Rattus norvegicus: one gene and its partners. The protein of the gene in region 2 purifies or fractionates together with the protein of the main gene of each other region. This does not show direct contact. Links are inferred from orthologs where the notes say so. Each region holds a gene or a part of one and is shown on either strand. Other genes may lie near its edges.

Region 1 (3,652 bases), on a different chromosome or scaffold from region 2:
TCAATAGTGGAGTACACGTCTAGTATGTCAGGCCCTGGCTCCGTCTCCAGCCTGAAACATTTCTGGAAATCAAGGGCTCAGGCAAAGCCTACTTACCTGAAAGACGAACATATGCCTTCCTGCAGGAACAGGGCCCACCAGCACTGAGTCTAGGATCTGATCAAACTCCTCGCTCTCAGCTGAGCCCACATAAATGATCTTCCACTCAAGGTCTGCAAGAACATGGGGGATAAGGGAGTTGAGGACTGACACTGCTGAGAGCAAGGTCTTTTTGTCAGCATCAGGTGAATCTGAATATACTAGAAGGTCCTATAACTGCTGGGCAATAGGCCCTGGCACCACAGTCCTGAATTAGAGCAAAATGAAGATCCACTTTAATGGAGACATTTTTTTCCTAATTCTGCCAAGTGACCTTGACTCTGGCCCTCCAGGGAAACTTAGGCCTCTCAGTAGCTGAGAGGAAGCATAGAGCAGAGACTGATCCAAGAGTCCTGTGACAAGGCTTGTGAGGGAACAGCAGGGAGTTAGGCTGCCCTGGTCTCTGGGTAGGAAGTGCCATCCTCTTTCACAGAAGGGTTGGTGCCACCCTAGTAGAGCAGATCCCTCGATAACTGGGGCAGGGTGGCAGATTCCAATCCAGCAGGACAGCCAGGTGGCAGGAGGAGAAAGGCAAAGCTGCGGGGGGAACCAACTTGTCCCAAACTTGTCCACATCTGGCACCGACTCATGCCTACTTGTGCACATTGTGGGACAGAGGCTCTGCCAGCAAATGGTGTGTGATAAGGCATCCCTCCAAACCTGACTCTGTACTCCATCACTAAGGGGGCTTGGTCCTGGAGTATACCCACAAGAGATGAAAGAAAAAGTACCTGGAGACCCTTCCCACTGATCTTAGGAGAGCCCTGGTACTCATAGCCTCTTGTAGGGGGGCCAAGTATTACCAGGAGCAAGGTCATGCTAGTACAGAGAAGCTTGGCATCAGACCCAGAACTTATTTTAGGCTCTTTGAAATTACACAACCCCTAGCTCCAGCAGCTGGGAAAAGTTGCACAAGCTGAGATTTTCAGAGAACTCTTGGAAGCTGCCTGCTCTTGGTCCAGTGTGGTGCAGGCATCCAACACACTGGAAGCACACAGATCATATGTGGAGTTTGTCACCTGGATCATAAAGCTCTCCTTTATACATCTATTCCCTTGTTCCTTCACACGTTCACCCAGATCTTTCTGGTGACCCCATGCCCACGGTTCACCAGGTTCAAACTCCAGCCTCAGCATTTTGGGGAAATTATTAGGTATTTCATTTTTTAAGCTTTATTTTCTTATGTGCATCCCCTTTTATTTTATGTGCATGGGGTGTTTGCCTGCATGTCTGTCTTTGCACCCTTTGGTGCCTGGGCTCAGCGGCCAGAAGATGGTGTTGGGTCTCTGGAACTAGAGGTACTGTAGTGGGTTGGTCTAGTGCTAATTGTATTCAAATGCTAACTCCTGTATCCAAGATCTGGCTGCTCCACGACAAGCCTTCACTTATACCAACCAGCCTTTGTTGTGTAAACCTTGTTCCCCAAGATATCCCTGATTGGTTAGTAAAGATGCCTAGAGTATGTAGAGCAGAAGAGAAGTAGGCGGGGCTTCAGGTCCTGGGACTGGGGTATCAGGCAGGCACCACAGTGAGAGAAGAAATAAGTTATCATGAGGTAGGTGGATCACGAGTGCATGACCATGAGGGCTGCCTGCCTATTGGAGTAGGAGTGACCCAGGCAGAACATGGCAAGTTCTCAGTTATTAACAGCGAAGTAGACAAAACATAAAAGGTTGATATCTGCCTAGCTCTAACAGTTTAAAGCTTATTATAATATTTTATTTATTTATTATATATATGAGTACACTGTAGCTGTCTTCAGACACACCAGAAGAGGGCATCAGATCTCATTACAGATGGTTGTGAGCCACCATGTGGTCGCTGGGATTTGAACTCAGGACCTCGGGAAGAGCAGTCGGTGCCCTTAACCACTAAGCCATCTCTCCAGCCCTTAAAGCTTATTATAAATGTAAAGGATTTTGTCTTTTATTTGAAAACTATGATCTAAGTCAGATAGAAATCCCCAAAATAATATTTACCACAACATTTGGCAAACCAACGAGGGGTAAGAACTTACTTATAACCCAAATTGAAATTTCAAATTCCCTGGATGAAAAGTGCATTGGAGACGGCTCAGTGGTTAAGAGCACTGACTGCTTTTCCAGAGGTCCTGAGTTCAATTCCCAGCATCCACATGGTGGCTCACAACCATCTGTAATGGGATCCGATGCCCTCTTCTGGTGTGTCTGAGGACAGCTACAGTGTATTCACATACATGAAATAAATAAATCTTACAAAAAAAAAAAAAAAAAAAGATGCGTTGCCCCATTAAGATAGAAGTAGTTAACAACTATGTGGGTGCTGGGAACTAAACCTGGGTTCTTTGGGAGAGTAATCAGTGGTCTAACTGTAGAGCACTCTTTCTAGCTGTCCCCAGCTGTTTATTTCTGAGGAGTGCTGGTGATGGAACTTAGGGCGCATGCCAAAAAAGTGCTGTACATCTGAGCCGTGCTCCCAGACCCATGGATCTAGTTGTATAAAAACTGACACTCTAGAATCAGTGATTCTGGAAGGACAGAGAAGTATGTGACTCTTGCTTGATCTCACTTGCTGAGATGACTCTGTCAAGCTTTACTTTCCTCAGGGCCCTTCCCCCAAGCCCCATGGTGTCACATATTTGTACACTTAATCAATGTGTTGGAGGGAATGCCAGGCAAAAAAGAGTTTGACACAGAATATTCCCTGTGTCCCCAAGGCACCCAACATTGCTTAGTCTAGGTCAATACCTTTGGCAAAACCTTTTAAAACACTGTAGTGTACACTAGAAGCCAGCAGATGGTGAGCCCCGTCTTGACATGGGCCTGAAACAGACCAGAGAATTCACAAAAGACCACATAAAATACGGACTGGCTACAGTCAGAGCTGATCAAATCTATAGAAATAGATGGTGAAATAAGGTGCAATAATTTTAAATTTTAAGTTTTTCTCATAGTTTCTTCCTTTAAAAGACAGAATTGCACTGGATATATCTTTAATCTCAGCTTGTGAGACATAACTTTAAAAAAAATGACAGAGTTGGGTTTGAGAAATGGCTCTGAGGGTTAAGGCACAAAATATAAAGACCTAGCTCAATCTCCAAAATACATATGGTGGAAGGAGAGCCAATTCCAGCAGGCTGTTCTCTGACCTCTGCAAGCACTAGCACATACATACACATATGTAAAAACACAGGAACAACTAATACAGTCTTCCTTTGTAATGTAGGCTAGTCCAGGACTTTAACATACCTGCAAGCCTTCCAAGTATTGGAATTACAAGAGTGCACCCATGTGTGTCTCTCACTGAATCCGGAGCTTATTTGGTTGGTGAGATTGGTAGCCAGTGCACCCTTGGGATCCATTCATCTATACCTTTTGCAATCCCCTGCTTGTACCTGAGTGTTGAACATTCAAACTCAGGTCCTTCCTGAGCCATTTCCTCACACTGGAATGCAGTATTTTGAACAGAGAGAAACTAAAGATTTCACTTCAGAATATACTCAGCTTTTAGCACCTGTAGGTTATATAACCATAAA
Region 2 (2,753 bases):
GAAGGTGTGTGCCACCACTGCCGAGTATATGAGGACACTTGCTCTCTGCAGACACCAACCAGATCCCATTACAGATGATTGTGAGCCACCATGTGGTTGCTGGAAATTGAACTCAGGACCTCTGGAAGAGCAGTCAATGCTCTTAACTACTGAGCCACCTCTCCAGTCCCCCAAAATAAAAATTTCAATGAAAATGAAAAGCATTAAGGGCCTTTCCACAGGTATACTTCGTCATTCCTTTTTAAAAGTTTTATTTGCATTTATTTATTTATTTATTTATTTATTTATTTATTTTTTTGGTTCTTTTTTTCGGAGCTGGGGACCGAACCTAGGGCCTTGCGCTTCCTAGGCAAGCGCTCTACCACTGAGCTAAATCCCCAACCCCGCGCTTATTTTTAAAAACTAATTTCTTTTATAAAAATTTAGGTTTTCCTGTATGTCTGTACACAATGTGTATGTCTGGCACCTCTAGCGCTGGAGTTTCTGGTGACTGAGTTACCATGTAGGGGCTGGAAACCCAACGAGGTCCTCTGCGAGAGCAGAGCTGTCAGCCGTCTCCAGATCCAGTTTACATTTATTTAACTCCTGTGGCACGATTTTTGTTTCTTCAGGTTTTTGTTGTGTTGTTTTGTTTTCAGACAGGGTTTCTCTGTGTATGCCTAGCAGCCCTGGAACTCACTGTGTAAACCAGAATGGCCTTGAACTCATAGAGATCTGCCTGCCTCTGATCCCTGAGCGCTGGGGCTAACGGTGTGCGCCACCACCGCCCGGCTCTTTCTTTGGGATACCTTTTCTTCTGTGCAGACTCCTCTTTTGGCTAGGAACAGTTTGTTCCTCTTCAGTGAGCATCATCTTACTGAGGCAGGGGGAACTCATGGGTTAGTCCACCATGAACTCTGTAAGTTCAACAGTGTTCCTTTGGGGGTTGGGGATTTAGCTCAGTGGTAGAGCGCTTGCCTAGGAAGCGCAAGGCCCTGGGTTCGGTCCCCAGCTCCGAAAAAAAGAAAAGAAAAGAAAAAAAAAAAAAAAAACAGTGTTCTTTTGCTTCGTGAATAGAGAGAATCTATACCCAAACCCTGTAAATTCATCAAAACCAGCACTCTGGGGGCCACTGGCTGACTGTCTGGCCTGGTGAAAATCTCCCAACTCCACCCTTATAGACCTCTGGAACAGCACTCTGCTTCTTTAAAGTGGCATTTTTCAGATACACATGCATGCCCTCACAGCCTAGGCTGCACCACAGGAATTCAAGATTTGAACCTCTTTTAGTCCTGGCTATTCTGGAACTCTGTAATGGTTCCTGTCTACCTGGAGAGTACTGAGATTAAAGGTGGGTGCCACCAGGGCAGGCATGATTTGGACCTCTTGATTTGCATATTGTGGGGTTTTCTGGGTCAAGAGAGCACATCATCATCACTTACAGGAGCCTTCTTTCCTCATTCTTGTGAGCCGGAAGCCACTCAAAATAATGCAAGCTCCACCAAAGGGGTGCTCGCTCTCTCAACCCCCCCACCCCCCCACCCCACCCCCCACACACTCAGACAGTACCTACTAATAAGGTAACTTGTTCTGTTGCACTAAAGCATTCTCCACCTTAGAGGTGTACCTGATGGCCTGGCCTGGCTTTGCCTTGCCCATCTGAGATTTGAGAGTGGCAGGCTGTGCCCTTGGAGGATAAAGGCTGAACACAGGGGAGCTCCTGGGTTTCTCCTGTACCTTACCCCCTCCGTCCAACACATTGGTATTTCTGGTATCTGTGTCCTTTTATCCAGTTCCATGATATATGTATCCTTGAGCCTACTGGGATCTCTGGCTTGATGATCAAAGTCCTGGCATTCAGTAGCCTCCAGAGATCCATGGGCCCATGGTACAGATATATTGATTGAGTCCTTTTTATGATGGGACAAACCCAAACGTAGACTCTGAGGTACAACATGAGCACTATGCCTCCTGTGGGTGTGCAAGTTAAACCTACGTCCTCTCACCCCCACAGGCTGCTCCATTCAGGGGCCCCTGAACTCTGACCTCTGGGACAAGATCCTCTCGCAGTTGCAGGAGCTGCAGTTGTGCAGCAAAGACCTGACCACAAAAGACCGAGACACCCTGTGTCAGAGACTGCCGGCGGGTGCGTGCACACTGAACCAAGGTTCCAAGCTCTTCTTTAAATGCCTCTGACCCTGGCCCTGCCGTTTCTGCCAAAAAAAAAAAAAAGAAAAAAAAAAACCTTAATAAATTATGCTGCTATCTCATTCCTGTGGCTGACTACAAAAAGGGTGGGCGATGTGAGGCTTAAAAGCCTTGAGGGGCTGGGTTGGGGATTTGGCTCAGTGGTAGAGCGCTTGCCTAGCAAGCGCAAGGCCCTGGGTTCGGTCCCCAGCTCCGGGCGGGGGGGAAGCCTTGAGGGGCGGAGCTACTCCAGAGCGCAAGCTCAGGCAAAGAAGTTGAGTGCCGACCTACGGATTGGGCTTGCTATGTGCGTAGGCTCAAGTTGGAGAATGAGCGCCGAGCTGCCGATCGGGTTTCCCGGCAGGCGCAGGCGGAAAAAGCGAGCACCGAGCTTCTGTCGCCATCTCCGGGACTCCAAACGCCCCAGGTACACAGCGGCAGTGGGCGGGTCCCCTCCTCGTGGGAACCCTTGGGCTAGGTGTCTCGGTCCCTTCTCCTTTAGGGCTCTGCGGCCCTTGCCGCGCGGCCAGTGTCTCAGGCGATGGGCGCTGTCAGGTGGCTTTTCTGGTTCACAGCTCAGGTTCCCC
Region 3 (3,752 bases), on a different chromosome or scaffold from region 2:
GCCTATGAACACACATGGGTATTCAAACAGCCAGCCTCTGCTCCCAGGCGAGCCGGCCAAAGTATACTCGGCAATGTCCAGCAGCCCAATATACAGAAGCCTTACCTCCACAGGGTCCACTCCATCTTCCTGCGTGGGAGGGACATAGAAGCGCACCTCCATGAGAGATACTTCAGCATCATCGTTCTGGTGGAATTCCAGGGTCACCTCATTCTTGCCTGTTGTACACTGGGACACATTGCTTAGGGGTATCTCAAAGACTGGTTGATCACCAATGTCAAAAGAAAGCAGCTGCCCTGTGAGGAAAGAGCTTGTCAAATCGCAAGCTCCTCCCCAAGAGTCGACAGAAGCAGTCCCACCAAGACAGAGGACTGGAGGAACTACCAAAGCCAGGCACAGTGTCTGGTGGACCGTGCATGCTGGACAAATCCATGCTAAACACACAGACTGAAATTAAGAAATTAGAGCCAAGGAAAGAGTAAAGAAAGGTACTGTCTGAGGCCCTTCTTCACCCCACCTTCTCCCCAAAGCTCAATCTCCCTCACTCACCACCAAATTTCACTGTCCCCCAGTTCCAGCCCTTCACACAGAGATCCTTCTCCATCAGCTCAAGGCGATAGTGGGTTTTGAAAAAGTCAGAGAGCTTCTCAAATTCCTGTAAATCAAAAGGAGAAAGTGCGGTCCCAGTTAAACCTCTGGGCCTTAACACAAATGTCCTGAGATTCTGTAGCTCAGTTCACCAATGTGTCTTCCTCAGAAACTACAGCTAACTAAGTATACCGACTCTGAAAACATTTTAAAACACTTTTACTTTGTTACTAGAGGCAGTTTCTAGAACCCAGATGCTCTCAGCCCTACTCTCAGGGATGTCCTTCTTTCAAGCCTTTTCTCTTAACCTTTATGCTTAAAACCCTTTAAGTGCTAGAGACCTGATGGCCTAGCAGTTAAGGGAACTTTTTCTGATATAAGACCTTGGAGTCATTCTCAGCACCCCACAGTGGTTCACAACTGTCTGTAACTCTAGTTCCAGTTGATCCAATGCCTTCCTCTGAGCTCTGCGGACACCAGGCATGCACATGGTGCACAGGTTTGCATGCTAGCAAAGCCTCATGCACATAAAATAAATAATTTTTAATGAATGAAAAATTTTTTTAACAACAGCAACAACAAAAACCTTTTGTTTCTGGGGTCTCTGGCTAAGTGTAGTAAAGAAAGTTAAATTCCCAGATACGTGTATGACCTTACTGAGTTTCTAAACTTTGTATAGGTGATCTTTTGATAAAAGTGGATATTAAAACCAAGTAACTCAAAAGCAGCTCAAAATGGAAAAGCAAAATCCTAGAGCACCAAGCTAGAATTTCTGAACCAGGACAGAAGGAGCAAGTGGAAACCACCACCTAAATTAAGGTGGTAAAAAACCTTCTGGAGTCTAGGCACAAGACACGGGTACTGAATATAGAAAACACTGGTTTTCTTGTTCAATAGTCTCCAACCGCCCTGCTCTGAGGAACCCAAATGAACAATGACATGATTATCAGAGGAACAGAAACTGTCTCTAGAAGATTAAAATAAACAAGACAAGGCAGTCACAAAGAGAGGGGGTCACAGAACAAGACTGCTCACCGATTCACGGAAGCCATCATACTTGTAGACATGCCCATTCTTTGTGAGCAGTTTAAGTCCATGGCCTAATGCTACCCGACGCCAGATGCCTTCGGTCAACTCCCCGGCCTGGATGTTGTCCACTTTGCCCGTCTTGCTGTTCTTAAAGATGATACCCTGACGGCTCAATCGAAGCCTCCCATCATTCTGCCCAAAATACAGACCCAAAATCAGAACAGGATACACACGAAGCGGGTCCTTTCAACCCCTTATCCATACAATAATACAGGCTGGCCATTTTATCAATAAAAAGGCAACAGGTTGTGGTGAAATCAAGTCAAAAGACACAAGAGACATTAAGATTTTCAGTCTTGAAAGCTTGGCTCTAGTGTCAGAAACCCTGTAAGGGCTCCAGTTCCCGGTTTTTTAACACAGGGATTTAGGATAGAACTACACATGCAATCTCTTCAAACTCAGTATCATGTAACTCTTGAGACTTTGCGGATGTTTTCGCTTGGCGGACACTGATACACTGTTTCTAAAAGAGTAGTCAGAGTTAAGCTTTTTGTTAATAAAACAAGAACTCTTTCCCATCTCTGCCTTTATTAAAAGCCCAAGTCATTCTCACCATGGACCCTTTCACCTCCTGGAAGATGTCGTTGAACTCCAATGTCTCTGCCATGTTCACCTGCCCGTGGTGTTCTGAGCACACAGCCCTAAGCTGCACCAGAGAAAAACGAACCCTTATCTGGATGCTGGGTCCCAATTCCTGGTTAGGTGTGTAGAGATGTTCAGCAGGGTGTGAATCTGAATTCGGGAAGGAGACTGATAAGCAAGAAACGACACCTTACTCCGATCACCCATGAGTAGCTGTGCCTGGAATATCTCAAGTTCTCTACTGCCTGGGAATCTTACTGACCGGCTCTGCAGCGCTCCTGAGGCCAAGGCCCAGGACCCTAGGTGCAGAGCCAGGCCTATAGTGGCACTTACATCTCAACCCGACACCCTCTCGGTACGTTCCACCGACAGGCACCGCAACAATCGGCGGAACCTGGGACCGGCTCAGAGAGCGCACCTCAACTCCGCTCAGAGGGTAGTGTCCTGATCGCAGCGATCCCACCACCCCGAGGCCCCCGTGAATCTACGTTTCTCCCCCTTCTTTTAAAATGGATTCGCCCACTGCCCGCGAATTTGAACGCGGATCGATCCATCCCAATCGTCCCGCGGGGGAGCAGGGCCCATGCACACCCGGAGCCCGGGAATCGCGACCACCCACCTCTTCGAACTGCAGCCTCGCGACGACACAGTGAGGGCGGTGGGCGCAGGGGGACGCAGGGGAGGGGATAGGGATACGGGGGAGGGGGTGCCGGGGAACCTTTTCCCGCGTGCGCGGTTCCGCGTCCCGCCACCGGAAGTCGCGCACAAACCATAGAGAGGAAGACCTGGCTAGAAAGGCACCATCCGGGCCGACCAACGGGACTGTCGCCTAGAGCGTCGGTGCCCCTGGTCGTCTAAAGCGAGGGTCTTGCTACGGGATCCCACGAGGCTGATTTCTTGATTAGAAAACGGGATCGCTTCTTAGAAAGTTACAGGCTGCTCTTCAAAGACTAGATTCCGAGGGGAAATTATGCGGTTTCAGGTTTGTATGTTTGTTGGAATCATGCAGGTTCCTCCCTCCTGTGAATAATCTGGGAAGGAGTCTGTTGAACCAAAAAATAAATAAATAAATAAGTAAATAAGTAAATAAAAAATAAAAATACAGAGCTGTGGCCAGAAATGTCGCCTCCGCTAGCTGCAAAGGGAATGCGGGTGTCGGTGATTGTGCTTGCTTTCCAGCTGTACCCTGGCAAGCAGATGAGATCCTTTCTGAAATGAGTTCACCTTCCACCCCCAACACCATCCCATCCATATCCCTAATTTGTGGGTTCTCAGGAAGAGCCCAGCAGATGGCTGCATTAAGTTCAAGTGGTGGTGTCAGATTTACCTTTGAGCTAGAACTTACTTGAAATCACATCAGCCTGCGTTGGCAGAAGCCTGGATGGCCTCACATAGCACCAGAGTGCATCTTGCAAAATCTGAAGCCAGGTCTGAAAGAGATGCTTGAGTTTATCTTGCCTTCCTCATTTTACAGATGAGAAAAATGAAACCAC

What was found.
Region 1: the proteins of Tonsl (region 2) and Asf1b purify together in Homo sapiens (affinity purification with mass spectrometry; 5 studies listed by BioGRID and IntAct, counting the BioPlex papers as one, with this or other methods). This does not show direct contact. The link is inferred for Rattus norvegicus from reciprocal best matches to the Homo sapiens genes TONSL and ASF1B.
Region 3: the proteins of Tonsl (region 2) and Ssrp1 purify together in Homo sapiens (affinity purification with mass spectrometry; 5 studies listed by BioGRID and IntAct, counting the BioPlex papers as one, with this or other methods). This does not show direct contact. The link is inferred for Rattus norvegicus from reciprocal best matches to the Homo sapiens genes TONSL and SSRP1.

Annotation. Positions count from the first base shown.
Region 1 is NC_086037.1:41,090,241-41,093,892, forward strand, and holds part of Asf1b (histone chaperone ASF1B), read right to left. Parts: intron 213-3,652; coding exon 97-212; intron 1-96. UniProt on the Homo sapiens protein: Histone chaperone that facilitates histone deposition and histone exchange and removal during nucleosome assembly and disassembly. Cooperates with chromatin assembly factor 1 (CAF-1) to promote replication-dependent chromatin assembly.
Region 2 is NC_086025.1:110,226,193-110,228,945, reverse strand, and holds the end of Tonsl (tonsoku-like protein), read left to right. Parts: coding exon of another isoform or gene 1-110; exon of another isoform or gene 111-200; intron 201-1,993; coding exon 1,994-2,175; 3' UTR 2,176-2,250; downstream 2,251-2,753. UniProt on the Homo sapiens protein: Component of the MMS22L-TONSL complex, a complex that promotes homologous recombination-mediated repair of double-strand breaks (DSBs) at stalled or collapsed replication forks.
Region 3 is NC_086021.1:90,530,308-90,534,059, reverse strand, and holds the start of Ssrp1 (FACT complex subunit SSRP1), read right to left. Parts: upstream 2,578-3,752; 5' UTR 2,410-2,577; coding exon of another isoform or gene 2,285-2,409; coding exon 2,231-2,284; intron 1,810-2,230; coding exon 1,624-1,809; intron 656-1,623; coding exon 550-655; intron 297-549; coding exon 106-296; intron 3-105; coding exon 1-2. Other genes in the region: P2rx3 (P2X purinoceptor 3), read left to right, coding at 3,230-3,241. UniProt on the Homo sapiens protein: Component of the FACT complex, a general chromatin factor that acts to reorganize nucleosomes. The FACT complex is involved in multiple processes that require DNA as a template such as mRNA elongation, DNA replication and DNA repair.